7 linked regions of the Sus scrofa genome follow. The protein of the gene in region 7 interacts with the protein of the main gene of each other region in a pairwise test. Links are inferred from orthologs where the notes say so. Each region holds a gene or a part of one and is shown on either strand. Other genes may lie near its edges. The genes, in order: CYB561, EMP3, DOLK, LEPROTL1, PLN, MAL and EDA.

What was found.
Region 1: the proteins of EDA (region 7) and CYB561 interact in binary tests that used the Homo sapiens proteins (3 or more experiments, as listed by UniProt). The two-hybrid records come from large-scale screens. The link is inferred for Sus scrofa from reciprocal best matches to the Homo sapiens genes EDA and CYB561.
Region 2: the proteins of EDA (region 7) and EMP3 interact in binary tests that used the Homo sapiens proteins (3 or more experiments, as listed by UniProt). The two-hybrid records come from large-scale screens. The link is inferred for Sus scrofa from reciprocal best matches to the Homo sapiens genes EDA and EMP3.
Region 3: the proteins of EDA (region 7) and DOLK interact in binary tests that used the Homo sapiens proteins (3 or more experiments, as listed by UniProt). The two-hybrid records come from large-scale screens. The link is inferred for Sus scrofa from reciprocal best matches to the Homo sapiens genes EDA and DOLK.
Region 4: the proteins of EDA (region 7) and LEPROTL1 interact in binary tests that used the Homo sapiens proteins (3 or more experiments, as listed by UniProt). The two-hybrid records come from large-scale screens. The link is inferred for Sus scrofa from reciprocal best matches to the Homo sapiens genes EDA and LEPROTL1.
Region 5: the proteins of EDA (region 7) and PLN interact in binary tests that used the Homo sapiens proteins (3 or more experiments, as listed by UniProt). The link is inferred for Sus scrofa from reciprocal best matches to the Homo sapiens genes EDA and PLN.
Region 6: the proteins of EDA (region 7) and MAL interact in binary tests that used the Homo sapiens proteins (3 or more experiments, as listed by UniProt). The two-hybrid records come from large-scale screens. The link is inferred for Sus scrofa from reciprocal best matches to the Homo sapiens genes EDA and MAL.

What each region holds. Positions count from the first base shown.
Region 1 is NC_010454.4:15,435,418-15,439,844, forward strand, and holds the start of CYB561 (cytochrome b561), read left to right. Parts: upstream 1-1,396; 5' UTR 1,397-1,479; intron 1,480-4,427. UniProt on the Homo sapiens protein: Transmembrane reductase that uses ascorbate as an electron donor in the cytoplasm and transfers electrons across membranes to reduce monodehydro-L-ascorbate radical in the lumen of secretory vesicles.
Region 2 is NC_010448.4:53,756,426-53,760,871, forward strand, and holds the start of EMP3 (epithelial membrane protein 3), read left to right. Parts: upstream 1-1,350; 5' UTR 1,351-1,617; intron 1,618-2,566; 5' UTR 2,567-2,650; coding exon 2,651-2,728; intron 2,729-2,997; coding exon 2,998-3,100; intron 3,101-4,126; coding exon 4,127-4,267; intron 4,268-4,446. UniProt on the Homo sapiens protein: Probably involved in cell proliferation and cell-cell interactions.
Region 3 is NC_010443.5:269,256,678-269,260,893, reverse strand, and holds DOLK (dolichol kinase), read left to right. Parts: upstream 1-1,409; 5' UTR 1,410-1,737; coding exon 1,738-3,354; 3' UTR 3,355-3,508; downstream 3,509-4,216. Other genes in the region: nucleoporin NUP188 homolog, read right to left, coding at 1,300-1,331. UniProt on the Homo sapiens protein: Catalyzes CTP-mediated phosphorylation of dolichol, the terminal step in de novo dolichyl monophosphate (Dol-P) biosynthesis. Dol-P is a lipid carrier essential for the synthesis of N-linked and O-linked oligosaccharides and for GPI anchors.
Region 4 is NC_010457.5:54,919,627-54,923,494, reverse strand, and holds part of LEPROTL1 (leptin receptor overlapping transcript-like 1), read left to right. Parts: intron 1-1,396; coding exon 1,397-1,583; intron 1,584-2,398; coding exon 2,399-2,515; 3' UTR 2,516-3,868. UniProt on the Homo sapiens protein: Negatively regulates growth hormone (GH) receptor cell surface expression in liver. May play a role in liver resistance to GH during periods of reduced nutrient availability.
Region 5 is NC_010443.5:43,455,818-43,460,161, reverse strand, and holds the start of PLN (cardiac phospholamban), read left to right. Parts: upstream 1-1,236; 5' UTR 1,237-1,310; intron 1,311-4,344. UniProt on the Homo sapiens protein: Reversibly inhibits the activity of ATP2A2/SERCA2 in cardiac sarcoplasmic reticulum by decreasing the apparent affinity of the ATPase for Ca(2+).
Region 6 is NC_010445.4:46,239,318-46,243,933, reverse strand, and holds the start of MAL (myelin and lymphocyte protein), read left to right. Parts: upstream 1-1,666; 5' UTR 1,667-2,040; coding exon 2,041-2,352; intron 2,353-4,616. UniProt on the Homo sapiens protein: May be involved in vesicular trafficking from the Golgi apparatus to the cell membrane. Plays a role in the maintenance of the myelin sheath, and in axon-glia and glia-glia interactions.
Region 7 is NC_010461.5:56,095,823-56,099,690, forward strand, and holds part of EDA (ectodysplasin-A), read left to right. Parts: intron 1-1,522; coding exon 1,523-1,653; intron 1,654-3,515; coding exon 3,516-3,767; 3' UTR 3,768-3,868. UniProt on the Homo sapiens protein: Cytokine which is involved in epithelial-mesenchymal signaling during morphogenesis of ectodermal organs. Functions as a ligand activating the DEATH-domain containing receptors EDAR and EDA2R. May also play a role in cell adhesion.

The sequences.
Region 1 (4,427 bases), on a different chromosome or scaffold from region 7:
CCCTCCAGCTGGAAAGCTACCCCAACAAAACTTATGTTTGTGGAGGATTTAAGCTCTGTCACTCTGAGGGGGTGGGCCCAGCTGGGTTTGCCCCATCTGGAGCTGTGCCCAGGCTAGTGGGCACCCTGGTGTCTTGCCATGCCCTTAAGAGTCTGTTCTCTCTGTAAGGGGGTATTGGTTCCCCAAGGCCCACCCTGGCCAGGGCTTTCTGGGAGCCATCAGCCAGGCTCATGGGAAGCACGCAGCCCTAGGGGAGGGGGAGGAGCGTGGGGGTGGAGGAGGGGTGTCCTTTTGCTGAGGCTCATTTATGTTTGGGGGGGGAGAGAAAGCCCCCTTTCCTTACTTCTGCCAGGCCCTTGGTGAGTCTTGCCAGGCATCCGACAGGAAAGAACCTTTTGTTCTGAGCTTGTACGAGGTCTGAGCTGGACTTGTTATCTACCCACAGCATTTCCTGGATAGGAGGCTTGGACTGGGCTGCTGTAGGGGCTGGCCCCCAGCCTGGCCTTGGCCCCTTCCTCTCTTAGTGGGTGGGGCTGGGGAGGCTACCGATGGATGGCAAGGTCTAGGCCTTCAGGAAAGGATGGTGAGAACTGGTATTTATCCTTAGGCTGTGGGGGATAGGGTGGGAGGGGGAGCAGTGAGTCAGGAAAAGGTCCCAGGCTTGGGAAAAGCGGGCAAAACGTCACCTAATGTGTGCGTGGGGGCGCTGCGGAACTGGGGAAGGGCTGAGTCGGGCCTCCCTGCACAATGACACCTCTTCCCTCCTGGCTGCGAGGCTAAGGGCTCCTCCGGGGCTGCAGGACCCGCAAGAGCGCGGGCCAAGGCCCAGGCCGCGCCTGACACCTAGCGGCCACCTGAGCGCGGGGCGGAGTGGGGCGGGGCAGGGAGAGGAGAGGGAAGAAGCTGGGAGGGAGAGGAGGGAGACTGGAAGCGCTGAGGCCAGGCCGCATCCCCCTCCCGCGGCCCTGGGTCCCGCCCCCGCCCCGCCCTGCTCGGGAGAAGCCGGGCCTAGGCTAGGAAGCTCCCTACACCCACGGAGACGCAGACCCCATATGCCCCCGAACGTGGCGCGACCCCGAAGCCAGGTCGCGAGGCCAGGATTCGAAGGCTACACGAGCTCCGGTCTGCAGGTCGCGACACAGTTGCCAAGGTTCTCGCGCCGTGGCCCGTACCACGCGGGCGGCAGGGCTTGAGTTTGGCGTCTGGCGGGGCCGCCCCCTGACCGGGGACTAGGGGGTGCCGGGCCGGGTCCCATGTGCGCGGACCCGCAGGGGCACTTCCGGTCCCCGCCCCGCCTGCCGCGCAGCGAGCCCGGCGGCCAACCCTCCGCTCGGTTTCCATGGCGACGCGGTAGCGCGGAGGGCGGCGCGGCTCGCGGAACCGGTAGAGCAGCCCTGGCTCAGAGCTGGGAGCTCGCCGCCCAGTTGGTGGCGCGGCGCTGATCGGCGGGGACGAGGTTTGGGCCCGGCGACCGGCCAGGTAGGCGGCCTGCGAGGGTAAATGCGAGCCGAGACCCCGCGCTGAGTCGGGACGGGGTCCGGGTATGTGTGGGGGGGGGGGGGGGACGGCGGGCTCAGGTGTGCCCTGCCTCGGGAGGGACCGCGCCCGCGCAGTGACGGGCCAGGATCCTGACGCCGCAGCCAGTTTTTCTCCTCCCCTCTCCGGCCGCCACACCTGCTCACCTCACCTGCTTCCCCGGCTCGGGGGCCGCGGAGCAAGGCCTGAGGTTAAAGAGCGCGTCCCGCTCCCTCCTGGAGCTGTCAGCCGTCCGCCCCGGGTCTGCCTGTGTGCGGAGTCTCTGCCCAAGTCACAACAGCACCATGTGACTCCAAGTTTATGTATGGACCCTCCGCTACCTAGAAACTAGGTAGCGTAGACGTGAATCAACCAACGTTTGCTACGACTGTTCCTTTGAAACCTGAAACTGCGCTGCTTCGCTATAGTGGCAGGGCCTCCCTCCTCTGCCCCTTTCCTCGTGGGGTAGGGAGTTTAGCCAGTAGATCCCTTCCTTGTTCTCCAACACCCCCAGCTTCTTAATGTGAGAGGAGTTTCTCATTTCAGAAATCCTTACTCCTTGGTAGGCTCTTGAACGCTGGGTGCAGGGGGTGCAGAACTGAGCTGAGGAAGCCATCTGCTGCTGCCTTTGACTCCTGGGTAATGGCAGGGCCACCTCCCCTCTCTGCCTGCCCTTCCCCCAGGGCACCGCACAGAGGAGGATCCATGTAAACTCTGGAGTCCCACACAGGTCTTTAAAGGCTGGCACCCTTCCCAAGTCTTTTTTCCCTTCTGGTTGCCCCTCTCTTCTCTCATTCTACCTAGACTGTCTGAGGATTTTCTAAAACTCATTAAATGAAGCTCCATCTGGATTCTCTTCCTTCATTTTCATAGCAAATGAAAAACAAAACAACCCACAAAACTTTGCTACGGTCTCACAGATATTTTGATTTCTCTTGTGAAACTGGACTGAGGCAGAAAATAGGCAACTTGTAAATGCCAAGGGGAGCCCAATGCAGAGAAAGGGCTCCCGCCCCACCCCCACAGGAGGAGCCTCCTGGACCTGAGTGACTGCTTTGCTTGGCCCACTGCTTCCCTGCCTGCGCCACCTGCCCTTGGCAAGCAGAGCTCGGGCGGCTTCTAACACCAGGTGGTCCAGCAGCACTAGAAGGCTTTGGAGGAGGAATTCACCCTGATCCAGGGGTTTCTGCTCAGTGCGGGGATTCACAGTAGACAGAAGGGGGGTTATGGATTTATTAGAGGGGGTCATTGTGCTATCTGCTGCCATCTGGCTCTCTGTGGTCCCAAACCTCATGTCAACAGCTTCTGATGTGTGACTTTTCCTAAGGTACTCTTAGGACAAGATTTAGTTTTTGTTAGACTGCTATGTAATTGAGCGTGAACTGTGTGGCAAGCACTGTGCCAGGCACTGGTATATGTTTATCCTGCTTAATCTTTGCTACAGGCCAGTAAAGTGGATCTCAACATCCTCCTACCTTGTGGAAGAGGCTCAGAGAGGGCACTTGGCTCACCTGGGTGAACACAGTCATGAACAGTGGGGCTGGCTTTGAAATCACATCCATCTGATCAGGGCTGCATTGTGACTTTCCCCTTCCTTCATAAAAAAAAAAAAAAAAAAAAAAAAAAAAGAATATTTTACAACTGCACTGATATAAAGACAAATACAATCCAGGCTGGATTAAAAATTAAAATATCTTCTTTAACCCAAGAAGCTTGTTTTTTCTTATGATTTTAACAAAAATCAAGGCATTTTTGGGGGGAGCCCTGGACCCAGCAGAGAAGTGAGCGTAGTGTCTGACTTGAAGCTTTGCTTTCTTCCTGGGGGTTGCTTGGGTGTGGGTGATAAGAAAGTGCCCCACCTAACAGCTCAGCCCTCATTTTGCCCTTTCTTTCATCATATTCAAGGACAGTCTAGGATAATTAGTTGTTCCCCCCTTTACCCATCAAAAAAACATCTTAACCCCCAACACAATCTTTTCTAACTCAATTAAAACCCTGCTGTGGATAAGGAGGGCTGTGGCCAGCCCAGGCTCCCTGCTTCCAGGCTGTGGGACGTGTTTGGTGTCTGGTCCCCATAATAAGATTAGGCCCAGTGGCCTTTCAATGAAACTCTGTGGGCACAGGGAGGGAGAGGGATGCTTGGCGCGTCCAAGCCCTACGGCAGCTCATGGCCCTGTCTGATTGCATTAAAGGGAATCTGACTGCAGGTGTGTGTGGGAGCAGAGGAGTGACTGTCACACAGCCTAAAGTTCCAGAGGCTGCTAAAGATCTGACATCCCCATCCTGTGCTCTGACAGGAAGGAGGGTGGCCGGGTAGGGATATACATGAGCCCCTTCTCTAGCTTCCTCCCGTGGCTGGCATATCTTAGGGGCTCCATAAGCAACTGAGTTGAGCAGTTCTTTGCTGTGGATGATTTTGGGCAAGTCATTTATCCTCTTTGAGTCCCACTTTTCTCATTGGGCAAACTGGGGTAAGGCTCCTGCTATCACAGGTTACTGCAAAGACTCAAGAGAGAAGTGCGGCAGTGCTGAGTACAGAGGGGGCTCACAGCTGTGAGGAGCTGTGCTCTCCAGTCCTGCCACCGTGGGAGTGCAAACAGCACTGGGGTTCAGACTCCCAAGGGAATTGAGGATGTGAGTTTTCAGTACAGGACACTAAAGCCTCATGTTGAGTCATCACGCTGTTCTGCTGTGTTTTGTTCTCAATGCCACCGAGGGAATCTCCATGTCTCGTCTCAGCAGATGCTGCTGGTGTCCCACAATTTAACTTAGTTCTGACACTGTCTTCCTGGAGACAGCGCCAGATCCCACAGGTTAAGGGCTCAGTCCCGCAAGACTGCTCTCCACCCCCATCAGATGCCAACTGCAAGCCCAGGTTGTCACCCGTGCCACTGACCAACAGGCTATAGATC
Region 2 (4,446 bases), on a different chromosome or scaffold from region 7:
TCTCTATTTCCTTCAGAGCACTTATCACTCTCTGAAATCTATCTTCACTGATGGTTCCCCTTTATTGTCTCTCTCCCTCACCAAGAAGGTAAGCTGCAGGGCTCGCATCTGTTTTCTTCATTATTAACTCTTGGTTCATAATAGATGTTCAATAAATGTTTGATGAAGAGAGAAATAAAAGTGTTAGGTGTGTTCGTGTACTGGTATTACCTTGTTCGTTTAGAGTAAATATGAGGGGAGTCCCCTCTGTGGCTCAGTGGGTTAAGAACCCGACTAGTATCCATGAGGATGCGGGCTTGATCCCTGGCCTCGATCAGTGGGTTAAGGATCCAGCATTGCCAGAAGCTGCAGATGTGGCTTGGATCCCACAGGGTGGCTGTGGTGTAGGCCAGCGGCTGCAGATCTGATTCAACCCCTGGCCTGGGAACTTCTCTATGCTGCAGGTGCAGCCCTAAAAAAAAAAAAAAAAAAAAAAAAAAAAATGATGGAGTTCCCGTCGTGGCGCAGTGGTTAACGAATCCGACTAGGAACCATGAGGTTGCAGGTTCGGTCCCTGCCCTCGCTCAGTGGGTTAACGATCCGGCGTTGCCGTGAGCTGTGGTGTAGGTTGCAGACGCGGCTCGGATCCTGCGTTGCTGTGGCTCTGATGTAGGCTGGTGGCTACAGCTCCGATTCGACCCCTAGCCTGGGAACCTCCATATGCCGCGGGAGCGGCCCAAGAAATAGCAAAAAAAAAAAAAAAAAAAAAAAAATGAGAATAGGTATCAGAATTGTTATTATCAGTGTTAGTGTATTATCGTATTATTGGTAGTATTGGATCCACCTCCTTGATTCAGAAACTAAGGCTCAGAGTTGAAATAATTGGTCGGTTCTCCAGGTAGGAAGTGGTAGCACTTGGGATTGTTAATTTCCACCTCCTGCCGCCGCTCCAGAGTTGCACACTTCTCTGTTTCCCATCCCCTGATCCCCACCATGGTGCCCAGCCCACCAGCCCTCAGCCCTCTCCACGCTGCAGGAATGTGGCTCCTCCTCCAGCCTCCCCCCCCTCTGAGTGCCCAGTCCCAAGCCCCATCAAGGAAAGACGACAGCGGTCCCAGAGCAAGAGGCCTGCGAATCGGACCCTCCCACCCCCGATGCTGGCCCCACCCAAGGGCCCCAGCTCTGTTCCCTTCCCTCCAAAGATGTCTCATCTCAACCGCGGGAGGGAGCCCCAGAAGATGCCTGTCTGGGGGCAGTGGGTGGGGGCCCGGAGAATGAGGAACCCGAATGCCTGGGCCCTCCCTCTGGCTGCAGACCTCAGCTGGGCGCGGTGAGGCTGGTATAAAAGGGTCAGTATATATATTGAGAGGAGAGAGAAGGAGAAATCCGGAGAGAGAGGAGAAGGAGCTCCATAGACAGTGCGGACGGGACAGAGCGAGGGAGGGAGAAAGAGAAAGGGTTCTAGGATTGGAGGGGAGACGGAGAGGGCGAGAGCCAGAGGGGAGAGCGAGCGAGGGAGGGGGAAGGCGGCGAGGGAGGCGGGGGCCCCGCGAGGGTGGAAGGAGGGAGGAGAAGGGCGGGGCGCGGAGGCCCGAACGAGGGACCAGACGCCGACTCTGACTTTTTCCGCCGCTCTCGGTAAGTTTCCGATCCGTTATTCCGACGGAGATTCCTTTCTTTCCTTGGGTGTGCAGAAGTTTAGAAAGGAGACCCCCAGCCTGAGAGAGACAACCCCCCCACCCCGCCCCGGGCCCCCGCTCAGTCCTCCTGGAAATCCTTGTAATTTAAGAAGTGATCTCTTAGCACTTAAGAGTGGAGCCTTGGGTAGGGGTGGGGCCCGCCAAGGTTTGAGGGTTCCCAGCGGAACAGCCCCCCAAAACCTCCTGCAATTTTTTTTCCTATGACTGAACACTCCCCCTCCCCCCGCCCCCCACAAAGACCCTGAGGTCAAGGCTTTTCGTGAGCATAACCAAAGTCTAAGGACCCTCCAATCCCCACCGCCCTTTCTGGACTCTGAAGGGTCATGGGAGGCTGGCTGCTTCTTCTCCAGCCTCTCTCCCCACTCCCAATACAGATCTTGTCCATTTTCCTACAAGGTGTCCAGCAGACACTGGTCTGGCGACAGGGTGGGGTGGGGACCTCGTGGGCCTAGCCAGGGGCTGGGGTTTCCCTGGTGCTTGGGGTGGGGGGAGATGAGTCATCGGATGACTCACCGGGTCCCCCGTCCTCCCCCCAACCCCTGGAGAGGAGTGGGGTGAGTCAAGGATGCCTGTCTCTGGGGGCAGCCCTGGGCTTGCGATGAATCTGAAAGGGTGGCAAAACGAATTGTCATATCCTGTGCCCAGGGACAGGGCTCGGACGACATGGGGGCCACATTGGCAGTCCTGCTCCTTCCCAGACCCGAGAGTCCATCCCTGACCCCCTCCAGCCTCTGGGGAATTCAAGAGTTCCGGTCCCCAGTCCCCTCCTCCCTTAGACCCAAGAGTCTGCACTATAGTCTCTTCCTCCCTCAGACCAGGAATCGAGGCCTGTAGCCTCCTTTTCCCATTAGACCGTGGAGTCTGAACTCAGCCCCCTTCTCTACCAGGCTTCAGGCATCTCAGCTGCCCCTGTGCCGACCTCTTGAAGTCACTATCTCCTGACGTCCCCACCCCAGACTTCCAACTCAGCCATGTCACTCCTCCTGCTGGTGGTCTCTGCCCTTCACATCCTCATTCTCATCCTGCTTTTCATAGCCACTTTGGACAAGGTAAGCCCACCTGGGAATAGCGGGGGCCCTCGGGCTCTCCCGCAGACTCCAGCCGCCACGCCCCTCCCCTAAAGTCACTCTGGCCCCGCCCCCTTTCTCTAGCGCTACCCCTTCTGAGCGCTGGCTCCGCCCTACCCTCTCCCCTGACACGCCCCCTCCCCTTTCCTACTAAATCCATGCTTTCCCAGTTCGGCTCCCCGGGCACCTTGCCCTTTTCCTAACCCTTCCCAGTCTCCCTAATGTTGCCCTTGTTCCTCTGTCCATCCCAGTCCTGGTGGACCCTCCCCGGGAAGGAGTCCCTGAATCTCTGGTACGACTGTACGTGGAACAGTGACAACAAAACGTGGGCCTGCAGTAATGTCAGCGAGAATGGTGAGGGGCGAGGGGCATGGCAAACCAGTCTGCCAAAGGGAGGGGTCACCCCAAGTCTCCTCCCAGAATAAAGGATTGGGAACCCCCAAAGTTTGAGTGAGTGTCTGGGTCCCCATGCTGAGTGACTGAGGCTGCTGATGTATGATGCCTCACCTATCTGGATGGTCGGGGGAAATATTCTCATGTCCTAAAGAGCATGGGCTAAAAGCCCTGCTCTCTATGATTCACAAGGGATGGAGGCCACGTGGGTTAAGGAATGGGGGGAAAGCTCCCAAGAGTCTGAGATTATGTTTCCAAAGTTCTTAAGGAGACATGACAAGTGTTCTGGAGGGATGGCCCGAATCGATTTGTCCAAATTCCAAGTTGTGGTTTAGAACCACATTAAGGTTCTAAAAAGGTGAGGCTGAATCCTTCCAAGTTCGAAAGAAGAGGGGCCAGATGCATCTGAGTTCTGCAGGGGTGGAGCAGCAGCCATCCAAATTTCTAAGTCAAGGAAAATGAAAAGTCAAATGCGTTTCCCCTAAGAGCAGAGTAAGAATTTCTGCTCTCACCACTTCTATACAGTCTTGGGCTGAAGGTAGACAATGCAACAAGGCAAGAAAAGGAAATAAAAGGCATAAAGATGGAAAAGGAAAAAAGAAAAATGTCTCTCTTCCCATTCAACACGTTTATACACAAAATCCGAAAGCATCTGCAAACAGGAGCTCTCTGGTGGCACAGCAGATTAAGGATCCTGTGTTGTCACAGCTGTGGCTTGGGTCACAGCTGTGGCATAGGTTCCATCCCTGGACCCTGGAACTTCGAATGAGGGTGTGCCCCCCCCAAAGAATCTGCAAATGGATTCTAGAACTGATAAGGGAATTCAGGGAAGTTACAAGAATCAGGTTGCTATAAGTGATACTACTAAGTGTCTAACGTTGTATGGTTCTAAGTGGAAGAAGGGTTGGAAGGAGGCAATGATGAACAAGCTGGTGAAACTGGAACTCTGGATCTGCTGTGACCTCCACCTCTATCTGTTTCTTGCAGGCTGGCTGAAGGCAGTGCAGGTCCTCATGGTACTTTCCCTCATCCTCTGCTGTCTGTCCTTCATCCTGTTCATGTTCCAACTGTACACCATGCGGCGAGGAGGGCTCTTCTATGCCACTGGCCTCTGCCAGCTCTGCACCAGTAAGCACAGTTCCCTTGGAATCAAAGGGAAGGGAGGAGGCCGGTGAGGATGAGGGGTGGTGGGGTGAGAGGGGGTCAGGCTAAGAATGAACATCTGATGAAAGAAAACAATTCTCAACCACCCAAGGACCACCTTGGCTACCTCTCTGCCCCAGGGACTTAGGGGAGTTGTAGTTTTC
Region 3 (4,216 bases), on a different chromosome or scaffold from region 7:
CGCGCCTGGCCCTGCAGGAGCTGACCTTTACCCAAGCTCCACAAGGACTGTAAGACAAGCCTAAAAAAAGGAGAGCACAGCGACCACAATGCTGCCCGATACAAGAGCTGACATGAAAAACAGCGGAGGAGAAAAACACAAACTGCTCCAGAAATAGTTCGATGGAAATTCCAGAGAAGAGAAATCTCACTTGAAACTTTACATGATTAAAAAGTATCATCACAATGGAAAAAAAAAAAAAAAAGTCACTTGAGCAGAGAGGCGCAGGAAGTCGTACAGAGAACAAGGGCAATACTTGTCATAAATATTTACTCAGAGCCTATTCCATGCTCTTCGGAGTGTTGAGTAGTAGTGAAAAGCCAAAAAAAGTAGCGAAACACTGCAGGCACAGGGAAGAAGTGACAAGGGGACGGTTAGCCGGGAGGGTGGCCGCGAGAATGGAAGCCGCTTCGAGCTGTAAGTGGAAGATGGAAGTGTGGCGATCTGGTTACAGATCCAGAGGCAGACACACGCCTGTTCGAAGCCTCACCGGACCCCTCCGCCAGTTCTGAGTTGGGTCTATGAGTCATCTATCCGTAAAACACAAGGTGCCGCTCGGAGTCGTGGGAGTTCAAGGAGATAAAGCCATGGAAAAGAACGCGCCTCGCCAGCCCGGCGCTGGTATCGCTCCAGAAGTAAGAACTGTCTCTTTCTTTTGAGTATTTTATCTTCCCGTCCCCAAAGCCCAGTACAGTGCGTGGGGTGTCCGCTGACGGAATCAATACAGGAGAAAATGAATAGATGGATGAATGAAAGGCTGGGCGGCCCAAGAGGGCAGAAACTGCAGGAACGTGGCTCGGCGACGCCCGAAACAGACCTTCCATGGAGAGCACATGCGGGACCCTGGGGAGCGCCGCCGGGAAGGGCCCAGGAGGCTGCGGCGGGGACGGGGTGGGGGCTCCCCGGGCGACCGCGAAGCGCCCCGTCGCGCCTCGAGGGAGCGTCACGCCAGCCAGGAAGCGGGAGGGGGGCGCCGAGGGACGCGCCACGGGGAGAGGGGAAGAAGGGAAAGGAACCGGAGACCGGAGGCGGGCGCCGAGGGAAGGGGTAAGGCACCGGCCCCCTCTCCGAGAAGTCGCTTCAGATGCCCGCGCGCCGAGACCGTTTGGCCGTAACCGCCTCCATCCCGGCGCCCGTCCGCCTAGCCGGCCTTCGCCCCGCCACTGCCGCTACATCGTGCCCTCAAATCCCGCCCCGCTTCCGGCTCGGATTCGACCCGGCGCCTAACAGCCACCCCCGCTGACTCGGCCCGCTCCGCACCTCACACACGGCCCGGTGGCGGCCGCCGCCATCTTCGCGCGCGCGCGCCCTAGCCCCGCCCCCAGACGCCGCGCCCACGTGACCGCTCGCCTCCGGGGCGTGGACGGGGCTTTTCGTCACGTGACGGCGGGCGGGGCCAACATGGCGTGGCCCGGAGCGGTGAGGACTCCCGGGCGAGGGCGGTCGAGTCAGTGAGGGAGTCGGTGGAGGAGCGACACCTACGCTTGAGGTGGGAGACGTTGGAGCGTGACCTGACGCCAGCTCCTTGCCTGCACAGAGTGATCATTCAGTGGCGCTTCCCTTCTGGCAGCAGGAGAGCGGATAGAGAACGTGCTGGCTGGGTGAAGCTACCGCTCTGTGCCTGGCGAGGATTGAGGAGCCCAGAATCCAAGGCATCTCCAGTCACCCGGGTTTCCCCGGGGTCCCAGATCTAGAGACATGACCCGAGAGTGCGCTCCTCCGGCCTCTGGGTCCGGGGCTCCGCTGAGCGGGTCCGTGCTGGCAGAGGCAGCGGTGGTGTTCATAGTGGTACTGAGCATCCACGCAGCAGTGTGGGATCGGTACTCGTGGTGCGCCGTGGCCCTCGCCGTGCAGGCCTTCTACGTCCAATACAAGTGGGACCGACTGCTACAGCAGGGAAGCGCGGTCTTCCAGTTCCGAATGTCCGCAAACAGTGGCCTCCTGCCCGCTTCGGTGGTCATGCCTTTGCTCGGACTGGTTATGAAGGAGCGCTGCCAGGCTGCGGGGAACCCATACTTTGAGCGCTTTGGAATTGTGGTGGCGGCCACTGGCATGGCAGTGGCCCTCTTCTCGTCAGTATTGGCTCTGGGCATCACTCGCCCGGTGCCCACCAACACCTGTGTCATCTCGGGCTTGGCTGGAGGTGTCATCATTTATATCATGAAGCACTCTCTGAGTGTAGGCGAGGTGATAGAGGTCCTGGAGGTCCTGCTGATCTTCGTCTACCTCAACATGATCCTGCTGTACCTGTTGCCCCGCTGCTTCACCCCTGGAGAGGCTCTGCTGGTATTGGGTGGCATCAGCTTCATGCTCAACCAGCTCATTAAGCGGTCTCTGACTGTGGTGGAAAGCCAGGGAGACCCCTTGGACTTCTTCCTGCTGGTGGTGGTGGTAGGGATGGTGCTCATGGGCATCTTCTTCAGCACCCTCTTTGTTTTCATGGATTCAGGCACCTGGGCCTCCTCCATCTTCTTCCACCTCATGACCTGTGTGCTGGGCCTTGGCGTGGTCCTGCCCTGGCTTCACCGGCTCATCCGCAGGAATCCCCTGCTCTGGCTTTTTCAGTTCCTCTTCCAGACGGAGACCCGAGTCTACCTCCTGGCCTACTGGTCTCTGCTGGCCACCTTGGCCTGCCTGGTGGTGCTATACCAGAATGCCAAGCGGTCATCTTCTGAGTCCAAGAAGCACCAGGCCCCCACCATTGCTCGGAAGTATTTCCACTTCATTGTGGTAGCCACCTACATCCCAGGTATCATCTTTGACCGGCCACTGCTCTACGTGGCCGCCACCGTGTGTCTGGCGGTCTTCATCTTCCTGGAGTACGTGCGCTACTTCCGCATCAAGCCCCTGGGCCACACGCTTCGGAGCCTCCTGTCCCTATTCCTGGATGAACGAGACAGTGGACCGCTCATCCTGACCCACATCTATCTGCTGCTAGGCATGTCTCTTCCCATTTGGCTAGTCCCCAGGCCCTGCACACAGAAGGGTAGCCTCGGGGGAGCGAGGGCCCTAGTCCCCTATGCCGGCGTCCTAGCCGTCGGTGTGGGTGACACCGTGGCCTCCATATTCGGCAGCACCATGGGGGAGATCCGCTGGCCCGGAACCAAAAAGACTTTTGAGGGGACCATGACATCTATATTTGCCCAGATCATTTCTGTAGCTCTGATCTTAATCTTTGACAGTGGAGTAGACCTAAACTACAGCTATGCTTGGATTCTGGGCTCCATCAGCACCGTGTCCCTCTTAGAAGCATACACTACGCAGATAGACAATCTGCTTTTGCCTCTCTACCTCCTGATACTGCTGATGGCGTAGCTGCTGCACAGCAGCCATGGAGGAGACAGGGACATGGGGAAGATGAATGGTCCTCACAGCTGCCAGCCCCTTGGGCGGGAAGAGCCCAGGGGTGAGATACAGATTTAATTTTTCAGTCGATTCAGATTTCAAATAAAAATCAAAGCACTCCTGATTTTAGTTTTGCTGATACTTAAAAAGCAAAAAAAAAGGCAGTTCCCGATGTGGCTTAGCGGTAACGAAGCTGACTAGTATCCATGAGGATGCAGGTTTGATCCCTGGCCTCACTCAGTGGGTTAGGGATCCAGCATGTCTGTGAGCTGTGGTGTAGGTTGCAGATGAGGCTCAGGTCCAGCATTGCTGTGGCTGTGGCTGTGGCTGGCTGCTGCAACTCCGATTCAACCCCTAGCCTGGAAACCTCCATAGGCCTCAGGTTTGGCCTTAAAGAGGAAAAAAAAAAAAAAAAAAAAAGGCGATCCTTGGTGGCTCAGTGGGTCAAGGATCTGGCAATGTCACTGCTGTGGCGCAGGTGCTAGTTCAGTCCGTGGCCTGGGAGCTTCCGTGTGCTGCGGGGCATGGCCAAAAAAATATTTTAAAAAAGCTTAAAGGATAATGCAAAAGTTCAAAGAGCTTGTGTGTCTTAGGGCTTCCCTCCCCTAAGTCCTCAGGGGGCTGGAGGGGACCAGTACAGCAGGGTGGTCAACACTTCAGGTTTCTGGAGTCAAACTGCTGGTCAGCATCCTTGGCTGCACCACTTCTTAACTGTGTGTGTGGCTTTATCACTCTGGGCCTCAATTCTCCTGTTTGCCAGATGGGATTAAGAAGAGCCTGCACCTCATGCGGTGTCGTGAGATGACACATGTCCAGCCCAGGGCCCACACAT
Region 4 (3,868 bases), on a different chromosome or scaffold from region 7:
ATGCCAAAAGCTGAATGAAGAAGAGCTGTGTTTGCTAATATGTGGAACAGGATATATTGTTAAATGAAAAAGTGCAGTGATTCATTCACATTTTTACAGTTTATCTATGTGGAAATACGGAAAGATCCACATCAGTAGGAGAGTAGGAAGGAGAAAGCAGGCAAGGCACAGGCAACCTTGATTTTTCACTTTTTGTGCCTTTGTATTTTTGGTATGCTTTTCCCCTTCTTTCCATTTTTTATTCTTAAAATATTTAGGAAAAGATTTTTAGAAAAAAAAGAAAGATAAATCTTGCTTATCATGAGCCCTAAGTGCAAGTAAATCTCCATTATGATGTTTATTTTATTTTATGGCAGTTTTAAAAGCTATCTCTCTCTCTTTCTTTTTCTTTTTTCTTTTTTTTGTCTTTTAGGGCCACGTCTGCAGCATATGCGAGTTCCCACACTAAGGGTCAAATCAGAACTGCGACCCACACCACATCTCATAGCAGTGCCAGATCCTTAACCTGATGAGCAAACCTCCTGGTTCCTAGTCAGATTCCTAGTTAACTACTGAGTCACGATGGGAATTCCTTTTTTCTATATTTTGATTTCAGTATTTTGGGAGTTCCTAAGTGACCTAAGAAAAGTTTGGGGGATATTCCAGTTTCAGACTAAGGCAAGATATTAGAAGTCAAGGGCATGAATCTTGAATTTTAAAAACTACTGAATTAGGAGTTCCCGTCGTGGCGCAGTGGTTAACGAATTCGACTAGGAACCATGAGGTTGCGGTCCCTGCCCTTGCTCAGTGGGTTAACGATCCGGCGTTGCCGTGAGCTGTGGTGTAGGTTGCAGACGCGGCTCGGATCCTGCGTTGCTGTGGCTCTGGCGTAGGCCGGGGCTACAGCTCCGATTCGACCCCTAGCCTGGGAACCTCCATATGCCGCGGGAGCGGCCCAAAGAAATAGCAAAAAAAGACAAAAAAAAAAAAAAAACTACTGAATTAATAATCCCACTTTTCATATGCCTTTTTACTTATAACCCAAAATGAAAAAATTCCTTTTTACTCTGGGTTTTGATTCCAACTGTTACAGTTCATAAAGCATTTTCTTATAATTTAAGGAATATTTACTCATTGTATCATAATTAATTTTAAAAATACTATGACTCTAATTGTTTCTCTTTTCAGTGCTCGGATTATAGCTTTTCTTTCTTTTCTTTTTTCTGGCTGTGCCCATGGCATGTGAAAGTTCCAGGGCCAGGGGTCAAACCTGTGCCAAACCATTGTAGTGACAATGCCAGTTCCTTAACCTGCTGCACCATGAGGAAACTCCCTATGTCATATTTTATACCTTGCAGTATGTAGGAAAATGACAAAGATAGCAAAAACTTACATTAATTTATTTTTCTTTTTTTAGCCAATACTGGCCCCTCTTTGTTCTGTTTTTTTATATCCTTTCACCTATTCCATACTGCATAGCAAGAAGATTAGTGGATGATACAGACGCTATGAGTAATGCCTGTAAGGAACTTGCCATATTTCTTACAACAGGCATTGTGGTCTCAGCTTTTGGACTCCCTATTGTATTTGCCAGAGCACACCTGGTAAGTGAAAGCATTTTTCTACACAGGATTTTACATCAGACTGGGTCGAGTTTCTCTCAGAAAAAAAGGTTTTTGTTAAATGACATGAAAAAGAGACCAGGGACATAGGAGCCTAGAGAATAAGAGCTAAAATCTTACTCTTGTTGTTAACTGATGAAAATATTGGGGAGCATTAGCAGCAAGAGTTGGCTTGCCAATACTTCGATCTCAACCAGTGCCAGACATCCCACAGGGCTGCCCTGTGCAGCTTAAAACATGGAAGGCTGGAGATCTTGTGTTTTCTGCAGGTGGGAGAGTAGAAGGGGCCTCCCGGACTCCCCAGGCAGATTCACTCCTCCGCCTCTGGGGAGATAGAGACTGCAGAGAGGACAGGCTTGGCACCCTTGCACCTGAAGAGGGCAATTACTCCCCTGCCTCTTTAAAAGAATGTCCCCAAGTGTGTCTGCATCTCTGATACTTTAAATTGAATCTGCTCTCTAGATAAAAATTTTTAGATTCACTAAGGAAGAGTTGGAACAGATTGATCTGTAAACAGAAAATTGTGGAGTTCTACACTGCCTCCTCATAGGCCGGAAGCAAGCTTGCTTTTGAATAATTATTCATCTTTCATGACTCTCTGTCTCTTTAAAGGAACTGGAGCTAGACAAGAACAGCAATGTAGAAGTACCATTAAGTGTTCTGCAGTGTCAGAGTTATCACTACAAGTCCCATTTGTTTTGGATCATGATTGGAATACAGCTAGAGCCTTGATTCGCTCTTCATTTCTTGTTGTTTTTCCTGTCTATTAACTGAGCATTTCTGTCTAATGTCCACAGATTGAGTGGGGAGCTTGTGCACTTGTCCTCACAGGAAACACAGTCATCTTTGCAACTATCCTGGGTTTTTTCTTGGTCTTTGGAAGCAACGATGACTTCAGCTGGCAGCAGTGGTGAAAGGAGTTACTGAACTATTGTCACAGGGACTTCCTGTCATTTCTCAGCCGACAGTGCACACGGGAGATGGGGCGGTGATGCTGAGCAGTGCAGCAGGCCTCCCGGGGGCATTTCAGGTGCTCCCGGCTCACTTGCATTGTAAGCATACTATTTTCAGAGACTTGCTGAAGGATTAAAAGGATTTTCTCTTTTGGAAAAGCTTGACTGATTTCACACTTATCTCTAGTATGCTTTCTGTGGTGTCCTGCTGAATTTAAATATTTATGTGTTTTCCCTGTTCAGTTTTTGTTTAATCAATATACAATGTTAAACATTATTTAAATGTAATAACCACATTTGCATTGGTTGGGAATTAGAGTTCTGCTGGCTGTTACTGGGTTAAAGTTGTTTATTTTTTCCTTAAAATTATTTAACTTCCATGCCTACACAAAGTTATAAAAATAATATTTTTTCAATCAGTCAGGTTGACATCACTCCCAATTTTATGTAAACATGCAGACCATTAGCATACCTTATAGACTCTTTTCTCAGTGCAAATATAGCTGCATTGATACCTCACAGGGGCCAAATATTAATGCAGTGCCCTCCATAAGGGTTGCTGGTTTTGCCAGAAAGCAGGTGTTTTGTGAATTGAAAATTATTTTACAGAATTGCTACAGAGGAGTGCTTTTATTCTCAATTGTTAGAAGAATTTATTGTTAAAGGTAGGGTGTGAAAACAGATGTTTGAGATATGGTTTTTATTTATGTTTATTATAGTTAAAGTAGAGTGAGTTGCATTGTGGGAAGAAACAGCATTGGAATTCTGTTTTTTGAATCCTGTTTCTATTTATAAGTGAAATTTTTATCTTCTTTCAGCCTTTAATGTCTTATGTGAGTAAAGGGACACATGGGACTACTACTGACGTGGCAAAGTTGTATGTTTGCATCCTACATAGAAAGTCTTTCCCTGCTTCCTCTTTTTAACTTATTTTATACATTGTATATATTGAGTAAAATAACTTTTCCAGTATGATTTAATAACACGTTAAATTAGAGATGCTTAATGCACCTGGAAGGTGATTGCTACACCATACATTCAGAGTACCCCTGCCTTCAAGGCCTTCACGTGATTAACATGTCATTCATGTATTAATAGCTCAAGATTTAGACCATGTCATTGTACTTCTTATTCCCTAAGGTTATATCGTAATGTAATTTTAAAAAATTTAAGACATGTTTCTTGTATACCTCTCAGCTGTGTTGATTTTTACTTTCACCCTCATAGATCTGCTGTTTCCTTTTATAAATGGCCTTGATTGTGTGAATTAATGCAGAATAGCCAAATTCAGCTGCATAGCAGCTTCAGACACAA
Region 5 (4,344 bases), on a different chromosome or scaffold from region 7:
GTTCACTCTGCCGTTAAGTATAAAACAAATTAAAAATAACAATTAGCTTGTCCAGAATTATGGGCAAGATTTAAAGAATTAGAATTCTGAGATGTGGTGATTTAAGTAAATCTAAAATATAAACAAAAAAATTAGAAAAAAACAGGAAAATGATGCCTGGCTTTTCAAAGGAATACTTTTCTGTTCTCGGAAGTTTGAAATATCATTCCATTTACTAAAATTTAATTTACATAGTAATTTTCAGGAAAACAATTACTGCATTAAATGAGCATACCCTTTTAGAAACACTACTTAAATTTCCAAACACACGCACACCTGTCGTTAATAAAGTGTCATTAACTAGGATGCCACTGATTAGGGATTTGTGATTATTTCTTTTCTGCTGCAAAGTTACTCCTGATACTGTGTCAGCTTACTAAAATTTTAGTAAGATTTTACGGTAACTTAAGGCAGCTGTTAAAAAATCCTAAGTACTTAAATTTGTAAACAGCGAATTTTCCAGGGTAATATCTATCAGTTTAAACATGAGAATTACAGTAAATATATTGTTCTAAATGAAGAAAACACAAATGAATTAAATATATTTATTCTTACTTTAACTGTAAGGTAAAGCTAATTTTTTTTTAAACCAAAATCAGTCTTCTTATCCTTGTTTTCTCACACACACTCTCTCTCCCATACACACATAGGTATGAAAAAAGAACACAGTCAGTCAGGAAAAGGTGTAAAATTTGATTCTGTAACAATGTTTAATTATTATCTTGCTAGAAGCTAACATTCTGAAGCTGCAGTGTTAAAGCAACAGCAACAACTCAATCAAAGTTGTCTGGCTTAAGCCAGTATTATTACTCTCAATCTATTAAAACTCATATTACTTTAATTCTTCAACATTATCACCCTCAGTTTACAATTATTTCTAAGCCTGAAGATGCATGAACTTTTACAAAACAGCTATCACTCTGAACTTTCTATTCACCCTGAACTTTTCAATTTACCTCCCATATATTTTAAAAGTTAAAAAAAAGAAAAAAAAAAAAAGAAGCACAAAGTATTAATGACCTTTCTATAACTAATGTTAAGATAAATGACATTCTAAAAAGTTTGGCTGTGATAAGACTATGGCTAACCAATCATAACTTCAGAATTCCTGGGTGACATCATAAGACCTCCCTATAACCCTTTTCCCCCTCCACCTACTTCAATTGTTCCCATAACTCTGGTAACAGAGTCAGAAAACTTTCCAGCTAAACACCGATAAGACTTCATACAACTCACAATATTCTATACTGTGATCATCATAAACAGCCAAGGTAAGAAACAGATTTTACTGATTATGGCAACTCTTACTTTCTATAATTCAAACTTAGAGAACTTTTTAAAAAGAGTTAATCGTACTTGGTAAATTTCAGTAGGAAGTTTGATAATGTCTGGCTGACGTAAAGCTTAATTTCTAAATAAATGCTTGTCCATTCAAGTAATAGTAACAATAAGACTGTATTCATCTTTGATCCTGGTTAATGGTTTGTCATTTTAATTTAACTTTCACTTTTATTTCCGCTGTTCAAAGGTGAATTTCTGCCAATTAAAGTATCTTTCAACTATGTTACCATGTTTGGTGGTAGAGGTGATTTGATTTCTCCATACAAAAACAATGTTTTCATTTTGTTATGTTACTCTGCTAAGGAGAAGGGTAGGGCTGGGCTGTCTGTTTACATCTAGATACTATGAACAATGGTGTGACTGTATAAAATGCACATTATTGGCATGAGTATTCTGATATTATCATTATGATTCCTTACAGTGAATATTAATAAAGTGGAGTTTAAGAATAAATAGCACAAACTAGTTTTAAAATGCTTTTGAAGACTTTTTTTCCTTTCTATAAAGTCCAGTCAACTTCTACAAAAAAATCCAAGCTTTTAATAAATTGTGTTATTTCTATTAAATTTAATATTCTATCATAAATGATAAGTTTGGGCATTTCAAAATACTTGTCAGAAACATGTAAAATTCTTTATGAAGTTACAGAATATTAATTTATTTTAAAAATAAAAAAACATTATTTTGGCAGTACAAATATTCCTATCTCATTTGAGTGAATTTGATAAAAATGGATCTTTACTCTGCCTATTAATGAATATACTTTTATCAAGGTACTATCCTCCAGTGTTTCTCAGTTTCCTCTCTTGTACTTAGAGGGTGGACAGGAGAGGATGAAAAATGCCCAAGAAGGGAGATACCACCATAAATTTTGTAACTTCTGTTTAAATTCTACTCTACTCTTGATGTTACAACCCTCAATTTAATGTATAAAATGTGTCTTCATTCTAAGATTTCAGTCAGGGCATAAAGGATATTATGATTTTCATTATTTTTATCTTTACATAAATGTCAAAATAAAATTACCTCTGGAATTTTAAGTTCGAATGACAAATGTTAATTCTACTGCTTTTTATAGATAAGAACTTTTTAATTCCTTAAACAGCTTTCCTTGAGGCACGCAAAGACATTTCCAATTTTTGTCTCCCACTGAAGCACCCTAACTGCCTATCAATATCTTTATTTTCATTAAATATTTTTCCTTGGATATTACAAAGTCACTCAGTGTGGGTGTTTTATATGCAGTTTTTATGCATTTTTACTTAAATGCCTATCAAATTACACACATTCTCACACTTAAAATGTTCATGAGTTCTTTTACAGTACCAGAATTTCACATTGCATACCACGCCACAAATGTGGTAATTTCCAGAAAGAGCAGAAATTCTGCTATTAAAATTATCCTTAGATAGACAGTGTGTCCAGATTAACAAAAATTATGTACAGTGACTATTAATCCAAATTTCAAACATAATTCCCTAGTGCCAGACATTATGTCCCAACTAGTTTATCTCCATCATAAGGTGAAATTTAAGTAATGTCTTGTTTCATGTGGTTAAAACTAAGTGCTTTAAAAAAAGCATCTGATGAAATAAAATGGAAGAAATGTGAAAGATTTTTTAATTATGAATAATTAATTAAGTTTAAAAAACACATGAAAGAGTACTTTGCTTTACCAAGAGAGGTCGTGCCACTATCATTTCCTAAAACTCAAATACCAAAATTACTTTAACGATATTTCAGTGGACATTAAGGAAAATAATACTCCAGAAAAAATTACATTTGGTTATACATTGATATTGTTTCTTAAATCTCACTAATTAATTAGAGAGAGAAGACTTTGCATAAATGAAACAGTCCCCCCAAAAAGAATTAAAATATTAATGTATTAAATAAAAATATTACTTATGTAACAAATTGTTTAATATATAAAAGTTTTAAGTAAAAAATTAAATGTAAAGGATTACCTAAATTAAACTGCTTATTACCAATCCTAGAAATAAAGAGGGTCAATTAAAACCTCCTCCTTTATTCTTGAAGAATTTTCTAAATGCGCCATATAAAATATCTCATTTGATCCTCTCAATTCCCTATTTGTTTGACATTCCATTTCTTTCTCACAGTTTAGGAAACAGATGCAAAAAGGTGAACTGCCCAAGGTCACAGAGCTAGGAAATGGTGGAGCCTTGGCAGAAGCCAAGATTTTATGACTCTAAACCACAAGCATATCCCATCCACTGATCAACAAATAACTCCTGACACTGGCAAAACAAAATAAATTCAAAGTCCTCAAATACTGTTAATGGTGCTCTAAAAGGCAAAGTTAGATGACACAAACTTCCATTTTAATTTAAAACCACTTCATTTAAAGTTAATTTTTGCATGAGGCATTATGTCTTTAATAGCCTATATAATATCCTCCTGGCCATTTTCAGAGCCAGGGATATAAGGAAGTTAGAGATGTCCTCAGTTACTATGCAGTATATCCTTGAAGACAAAACTCAAAATAATTGCACAGATTTCAAAAAACAGTAGCATGTACAATCAAATCAAAGTTTCCTTTTACATTGCTAAAATACTCATGCCTTTAATCTACTTAGCTTTGATACCTAAAAGACAGGTTAATTTCCCCTCAAAACTTTTCATAAATACCACAGTTCTATATTTTATTCCAATTTCATGTTAAAACTTTAGCTTTCCTCAATTTTATTTCTGACCTCTTCACATTCTACCATTTAAAATATTCAACCTCATTTGTTTAAAGGGGCTTGAAGAGAGAAATACTCCTTTATTTACGTTATGAAAAACACTAACTTTCATCTAAACTGTGAATTAACACAGTGGTGATCATACCAGCAAAGGAGGAAACCTAAAGGTTAGAAATCAAGGAAGTGATGCTTCCAAACTGCAGTGACCTAAATCAGATATGTAGTCTCTCTGAACATTTCTAGAAACAGTACATCA
Region 6 (4,616 bases), on a different chromosome or scaffold from region 7:
CCAGAATGGCCACCATCAAAAAGTCTGCAAACAATAAGTGCTGGAGAGGGTGTGGAGAAAAAGGAACCCTAGTACACTGTTGGTGGGATTGTAAAGTGGTGCAACCACTGTGGAAAACACTATGGAGATTTCTCAAAAAACGAAAAATAGAACTACCATTTGATCCAGCAATCCCACTCCTGGGCATCTATCCAGAGAAAACCACGACTCACAAAGACACATGTACTCTGATGTTCATTGCAGTACTGTTTGCAATAGCCAAGACATGGAAACAACCTAAATGTCCATCGACAGAGGAGTGGATCAAGAAGATGTGGTACATATACACAATGGAATATTACCCAGCCATTAAAAGGAATGAAATACCGGCATTTTTAACAACATGGATGGACCTAGAAATTATCATGCTAAGTGAAGTCAGTCATACAATGAAACACCAACATCAAATGCTTTCACTGACATGTGGAATCTGAAAAAAGGACAGACTGAACACCTTTGCAGAACAACATTGAAAAACTTATGGTCTCCAGAGGAGACAGTTTAGGGGGTGGGGGGATGTGCTGGGGTTGTGGGATGGAAATCCTGTGAAATTGGATTGTTATGATCATTACACAACTACAGATGTGATAAATTCATTTGAGTAATTAAAATAAAATAAATATAAACAAAAAACAAAACAAAATATAATCGCTATAAATGGAGTATAAACTTTAAAACTGCAAATCTCTATATAGTACACCTGTAACTTATATAACATTGCATATCAACCATACTTCAACAAAAAAAAATCCAAAAAGGCAGGGATCAAGTCTCCTCTGCTCCTGTGTTATCCCTGTGGCCTGGCACTTTATGAAATGGTACTGATGGGGGGACTGAGGGCAGGGGCCTCTATCATGTGTACTGTTACCTCTTCAGTGCACCCAAGAGCTGCTCAGAAATGGGAGCCTGTCCCCACACCAACCTGGATGTAGAAGGACTGGCCTCTACGGTTTGGCCTCTAGGGTTGGGGAGGAGTACCCAGTGCAGGCCTAGCCCAGGTGTCCACTGACTCTGAGTGTGATGTCCCTTTTGGATGGAACTCACCTAGGGAGCAGGGACTCTGTCTTCCCCACTCAAATACCCGCCCTCTGTGTCCCCGTCCCTGCATCACCCTGACAATGCTTGGGGATGGCTTTCTCAGGCAGTGGTGAAGGGCCAAGTCTCCCCAACCCAGGAAACGGGAACCTAGAAGAGGTTGGGAACAAGCAAAAAAGGTCACAAGCAGTGGCTCACTGTCCCTGGAGGCAGCAGGGCACAGGTGCCCCCTTGGCCCACCAGGGCACAGCTCTCTGGTGAGCAACCACCCCCCACCTCTAGGTTTCAAGTGTGTGGATTTTAGGCAGGAGGCACGGAGGCAGTGGAGACAGTCTGCCTTCTAGAGTCAAAGGGCCCGGCTCCTCTCCAGATGGCCTGGGTGTGTTCCTTCCTCACTCTAAACCTGTATGTCTGGGTAAAACTTACCAGAAAGGCTCTGTGGGATTAAATGAGATCGTGTGGGCAAAGAGCCTTTTGGTGGCGCTGGGCACTCCATAAGCCTTCAGCAATGCTGGCTCTCCTCAGCCCTTCAAGGTTCAAGACAGCTGTGGCTGCCATTAAGCCACCACCGGGCAGCTCCAGGAGGAGTGGTGGAGACCCAGGGTGTGGCCTTCAGGCGCTGGGCTCTCTGGGGCGCAGGGACAAGTGTTGGGCGGCTGGAGTGGTCCCAGACTGCCCCTGGAGGGCGGGGAACTCGTCCCACTGTGAGCCAGAAGAAAGACGAAAAAGCCACAATTTAAGAATAGTTGAAGCAATGGTGACCTGAGCGATGCCACGGAGTGGGTTTGGGGGCCTAGTTGCTGTTGGAGATCATTCTTAAGAAGTGGTGATCACCTGCAAAGAGTGATCACCTGCAAAGGGCCTCATCTAAGCGGCTTTGTCCTCCTCCGGTGGCGGTGGTGCCCAGACCTGGGACTCTGAAGTCAAACTCCCGTCCCAACCTTGGTGTGATTCAGAGTTGTGTCTATGGCGCTGGGCAGGTCCCCTGGGGCGCGCCCCACGTTCTCGGATGGCTGCAGCCCCGTGGCGGCGGCCAGGGCTCCTCCCTCTTCGTCCCAGGCGCGGCTGCTCTTAATCCGCGCGCGGTGGCTCCCTGGCCACTGGGCTCCGCCGAGCAAGCGAGCGGTCAGCGCAGAGCCAGAGCCGCGCGCGTCCCGTTGCGAGGCCGACGCCCAGCCCGCGAGCATGGCCCCCTCAGCTGTGTCGGGCGGCAGCAGCCTGCCTAGCGGTTTCGCGGTCTTCATCACCTTCCCGGACCTGCTCTTCATCTTCGAGTTTGTGAGTGGCTGGCGGGCCCCGCGCCCAACCGGGGAGGGCGGGATGGGACGGTCCGAGCCGCTCGCTCTCACCCGGGCTCCGCACAGCGCGCCGGCCCATCCGCCAGCCGCGCGGTCTCCGGTCCCCGGAGCATCGGGTAGAGGGGCTCAGGCAAGGAAGGTGTCTTCCCCGGGCCCACCCCGCAGTACTTTAGCCTCTTCCAGCCAGCGACAATGGGGAAATAGTCTCCAGGGCTTAGGTGAAAAACCAAGTTCACAAGAAGGATCAGATGTCGGAAACCCGCCGCGGTCCACTGTGAGCCGGTTCCAAAGCTGTGCTCGGGACGTTTCCCCTTATAGGAGAGCGACATTCCCGTGGAGGAGTCCAGCTCCCTCCACGGTTAAGATGTTTTTGTTTTTTGTTTGTTTTTTGTTTTTTTTAATTTTAAAAGTCAGCAAAAGAAACCTGAGGATTACCAAGCGAGGTGTGGAGATAGAGTTGGGGTCATAGGAGGAGCTGAATCCGGATTATTCGCTTTCTCAAACGTTTCTGGCGAGTCAACAAACTTGCAACAACTTTGATCTGGAAATAACACAAGAGGCCACGGTCCTGCTGCCTCCCTGCGTGAGGGGTGGGGGAAGGGAGCCGGACCTGGGCGAGCCCTCACCTTCCCTGGCTGACCTTGGGCGGTGAGCCCAGAGACCGCTGCGCCTGCAGCTGGTCCCTCCTTACACCGGAGCCTCACAGACCCCCCTCGCAGGCTGCAGAAAGCGCTCCCTGTCATAGGCCTCAGGCCGCCTCCGCCTCAACTTCGCGGGGCCCTAGGCCCTCCGCTGAGACGGAGCAGATGTGTTTCTTCCGTGGGTGCGGTGCCAGAGACTCCTTTCCCTACAGGCGCACAGCGGAATGGCTGCCTTGGAGAGTCGGTTGCAAAAGAAAATGTGCAAACCCAACTGTTGGAAAATGGGACCCCAGCTTCTCCTCCCCTGATTGGCGAGGGAGGGTGTGAACAGCAAGGGGAGTTCTATCACCCATTGAGGGATGGGTGAAAGGGTTGAGGGGATCAAGGTTGCCTGGTGGCACCATATCACTGAACTTGAGCCAAAGCTGGATGTATCCAGAGTGACTTCAAATCCTGGAATTAGCCAGAATCCAGGAGGTGAACACCTCTAAGCTCAGCCTGTGCCATTTACAGATAGGGCTACCTAGGTCCAGAGTGGAAGGGGCTTGCATCCACTGGTACATTCCTTCCCCAAATGGCTCATCTCTGCACTTCTAGTCAACCCTTAGCCTGAAAATGAACAGGTATTCTAAGTAGTAAGTGGCTTCTTTTGAGGTTATTGTATTTATAAATGCAGAATTTGGTGACTTTAAGTGATGAGGGCTAAAGGTGACGTGAGATGGAGCAGAGAGATTTTTAAACAAAAGGACTTCCTAATAACTAAATCACCCTAATGAGTTATTTACTCCGCCATTGTAGCCGGAGCATTATAACAAGAATCATGAGAGAGTTAACTGGGTTCATGCAAGTCTTGTGCACCCTCCTCCTCTGGCCTTGACCTGAATGGAACAAAAATATGCATGTCCACAGCAGCACGATTCAGAATAAGCAACAGGTGGAATCAGCCCAAATGTCCCATTTGCAGGTGATTGGATAAACAAATTGTGATAGTCCATGCAATGGAATACTATTCAGCTGTAGAAAGGAATGAAGCACCAATACATTCCACAAGGCTGATAAACCTGAAAACAAGAAGCCAGAAACAAAAGGTCACACAGCGTATGATTCCATTTATACGAAATGTCCAGATTAGGTAAATCTATAGAGATAGAACACAAACTGGTGGTTTGACAGGGACTGATAGGAAAGGGAAATGGGGGTCAGCTTAATGGGTATGTGGTTTCTTTTTGGGGCAAGAAAAATGTGTTGGACTTAGAGGTGGTGGTTGCACAACATCATGAATGTATTAAATGCCACTGAAGTGGACAGGTTTTGTTTTTGTTTTGTCTTTTTTAGGGTCGTACCTGTGGCACATGGAGGTTCCCAGGCTAGGGGTCTAATCGGAGTTGCAGTCGCTGGCCTACACCACAGCCACAGCAATGCTAGATCATAACCATGTCTGCGACGCCCACCACAGCTCATGGCAACACCAGATTCTTAACCCACTGAGCGAGGCCAGGGATAGAACCTGCATCCTCATGGATACTAGTCAGATTCCTTCCCACTGAGTCATGATGGGAACTCCTGAACTGGACAATTTAAAATGGTTAGGTTTCTGTTGTGC
Region 7 (3,868 bases):
GAGGAGCAGAGCCAGGGCGTGTCCTCCAAACTCCTATCCCATCCACTTATCACTGAAAGGAAAGCGGGGCACCTCATCCAGAAGGCCCATTTCCTCATACCTCAAAAAGGCAGGCCTCCTGAGACCAGCCAAAGATGGACTTTTGAAACATATTTTCTCGGGAGTTCCCACTGTGGTGCAGCAGGTTAAGGATCTGGCGTTGTCTCAGTGGTGATGCGGGTTCCATCCCTGGGCCAGCACAGTAGGTTAAAGAACCAGCCTGCATCTGTGGCTCGGATTCAGCCCCTGACCCAGGAACTTCCATATGCTGTGGGTGTGGCCAAAAATAAAAACAAAATGTATATTTTCTTGGATGAAGAATGGATAGGGTTTTGGTTGGTTGGTTGGTTGGTTGGTTTTGATTTTTGGGGCTGCACCTGTGGCATATGGAGGTTCCCAGGCTAGGGGTCGAATTGGAGCTACAGCTGCCGGCCTGCGCCACAGCCACAGCAACACCAGATCCCTAACCCACTGATCAAGGTAAGGGATCAAACCTGTGTTCTCATGGAGGCTAGTCAGATTCGTTTCCACTGAGCCACTACGGGAACTCCAAAAATGGATGATTTTGAGGGGAAAAGGCTGCATGGGCTTGGACTCCCTCCTCTTGTGATGGGAAAGAACATGCCCCTTGCTGCAGGATAGAAAGGAAAGCTTTTCCTCACCCTCACGCACTGGCTTCTACAGTCTAGCAAAGATGGACTGACTGCTCCTTCACCCCAAATGGGCTATTACTGAAGGACAGATGCTTTGCAGGGGTGCCTCGGTACCCAGACACCCTCACTGTCCCCTTTGCTGCCTCTAGTGTTTTGTGGCAGTCTATGTCTCACTCTCATTAAGATCCTTCTCCCCTATGGGGCCTTACTCCTGGTGATCACTAGATATGGCTGCCATGACATCTGACTCACCCCTGATCCCTAGAGTTCTCTGGGTAGACAACTCCTTGGGCTGAGTGGTTTCCTGGGGGCCCAGGGAGGCTCCAAAAAGGAGTGGGTATGGAGGAACTATAAAAAGGAATCTCTGAAGGACAAGGAGAAAACCTATGAACATGAACAGGAGAGGGATCCAGGAGCTATGGCTGGTGAAATGAAATGAATAATAAGACCTAGCCTGCCCCTCAGTGTCTGGATTTTGCCTGTGCAGGCCTCCAAACAACAAAGAAAATAGGGCAGCTTGCCCACCCTCTTCTTACTCTCCTCCCAATTCCAGCTAGAAGGTATTGGTTAAAGATCTTACAGAAGGAGGGAATCAGGAAAGGAGAGAGGAGGACAGACAGGCAGACCCCAGGGGCCCGAGGCAGACCTGGCCACTACTTGCCACTTTACAAACAGAACATTTTCTCTGCTTCCAATTGCTCTTCTTAAAGCTGGGCTGTCCAGGTTGCACTGAGGTAGGGGTGGAGGTTGTGTACTGTTTGATATTTCTTTTTTCTATTACCCAGATGATTCTGACATGTACTGAGTGACTGCCCTTCTCTCACACTGAGATCTTTCAGGTGGAGTGCTCAATGACTGGTCTCGCATCACCATGAACCCCAAGGTGTTTAAGCTACATCCCCGCAGCGGGGAGCTGGAGGTACTGGTGGACGGCACCTACTTCATCTATAGTCAGGTAGAAGTGAGTACGGTCTCAGGCCTAACTCTTCTTATATCCAGAATGCAGATCCGGTGCAGACCACAGAGGGGCACTGTGGAGCCAGCCAAGATCAGCCAATGGCTAACTTCCTGCTTTGGGGGTGGGGGCAGGGGGACAGACCTTGGGAGGGAGTTGAAAAGAGGGAAGAGAGAGGGGGCCATCTGGGGTTTTTTCTAGCCAGATATTATTGAAAAACTGAAAGGAGGCCCCCTCCACCCCCTCTGCCATCTGATTCCCTCCTACAGGGCCCCAGGCCCTAGTTTCCCTGCTATGCTATCTGGCTCTACTGCCAAACTTGAACGCTGTCTCAATATATTCTGTGCAAGTCAGTTCCAGGGCTGCTAAAACCCCCTCCCCCACCACATCACTGGCTTAAAATGAATAGTGCTCCTCTGAACCTTCTCTCCACCTCAAAAAGGTGTATCTTTCCTCCCTCTTTCTCCCATTTGTTTCTCTACCTTTCTGCTTCTCTGTCATTCTTGCCTCCCTCCTGCTGTCGTTCTCCCAGCCCTTTTCTCCCTCTGTTTTTGTCCTTGTCCTGGCCCCAGGCTCACTCCCCAGCTCGCCCAGTGCCCATCCACTTCCACCCCTGCTGTTTGCCTCCAGTGGGGTAGCTCCTCAGAGGTACAGGTGGATGAGCCTTGAGGTTGGGGCTTCTGTGGGGCGGGTGGCAGGCAGGTGGATGGACAGAAGGACAGCGGAGTCAGCACAAGGGTCTCCAGGAGAGTGGCTGGAGAAGATGGGTTCTCAGCATTTGCTGAGGCCACCCAGTGTCCTGGCGCAGCCGGCGGTCCTGACCCAAGAAGTTGTATGGCACCCGAATACACTGCCACTTCCTAAACAACTCCGGGAGGGCGCAGCCTTTCATAAAGTGATTTAGGGTGACAGATGAGTGTCTCAATCCCCAGGGGTGTAATCCCAAAGTCCTAGGGACCATTCAGGCTAAGTACCATCTCGGTGGGGGCAGGGGGTCAAAGATTGGGGTGGGGTGTGATGGAGAAGGGTAGTAAGGGAGAGAAAAATCAACTTGGGGGGCCTGAGATAGAATTACGAGTGGCCTCAGGCCTTGGACCCCATGCAGAGTGGGAAAATCGGCTGAACACCATGCCATTGAATGGAGCTTAGCACTTCCTTCCAGCCACAAAGTAAAGTTAGGGACCTGGCTTTTGCCCTTCCATGTTCGTTATCTCATTTGTGAAGGAGAGCTCTCCATCTCTCTGGATCAGTTTCCTCAATCATCAGACGAGAGGGCCAAGGGGCATCAGGAGCATCAGTGAGAGACATTCAGCCTATGGGGAGCGGGGCTGCATGCTGAAAGGGCTGAAGAACCAGCTAAAGAACCAGCAAGTTGTCCCTGTGCCCTCTCTGGGCAAGTGGTAACTTCTGAGTTTTTCCACACATAGTCTGTAGGGCTTGAAATTGGAAGTTAATTTGTTTTTGTGTCTGTAGACTGATGAGCATCTAATGTGTGCGGAGAACTGTGCTTCACGCCAGGGCTGAGGAGGCGGGGCGTGGGGGGGAGGTTTGAGGGCTGGGGGAGGTTAAGGGGCGAACAAGGTGTGATTCTGGCCCTCGCAGAGTCTCCCACCAGTGTGCTGTTGGAAGAAAGGTTAGCTCAGCCACCTGGGCTCCAAGGAGTGGGGACAAAGGACGGTGAATAAGCCTGTCGCCTCCCCCGTCCCTTTGGCTGAGTAGTACGCCTTGGGGTCTCACTGCCCCCTTCTCAAGGTGCACTAGCAGCTCACATGAGCAGGTCCGCTCTGTTGGTCACAGGGGAGGGGGGAAGGGGGCCCTGCCCTGTCCTTCTGCTGGCCCCCAATCCCATCTCATTGCCTCTCGCCCAGGTATACTATATCAACTTCACTGACTTCGCCAGCTATGAGGTAGTGGTGGATGAGAAGCCCTTCCTGCAGTGCACCCGCAGCATCGAGACGGGCAAGACCAACTACAACACTTGCTACACCGCAGGGGTCTGCCTCCTCAAAGCGCGGCAAAAGATCGCCGTTAAAATGGTCCACGCCGACATCTCCATCAACATGAGCAAGCACACCACCTTCTTTGGGGCCATCAGGCTGGGCGAGGCCCCTGCATCCTAGATCCCTACCCAGCCCCCTCTCTGGCCCCTGCCCTTGCCCTTACCCCAGGTTTGGGAACTGGAACTCCCAGAACCTCTAAGTGCTGCTGTGGAATAAGGGGT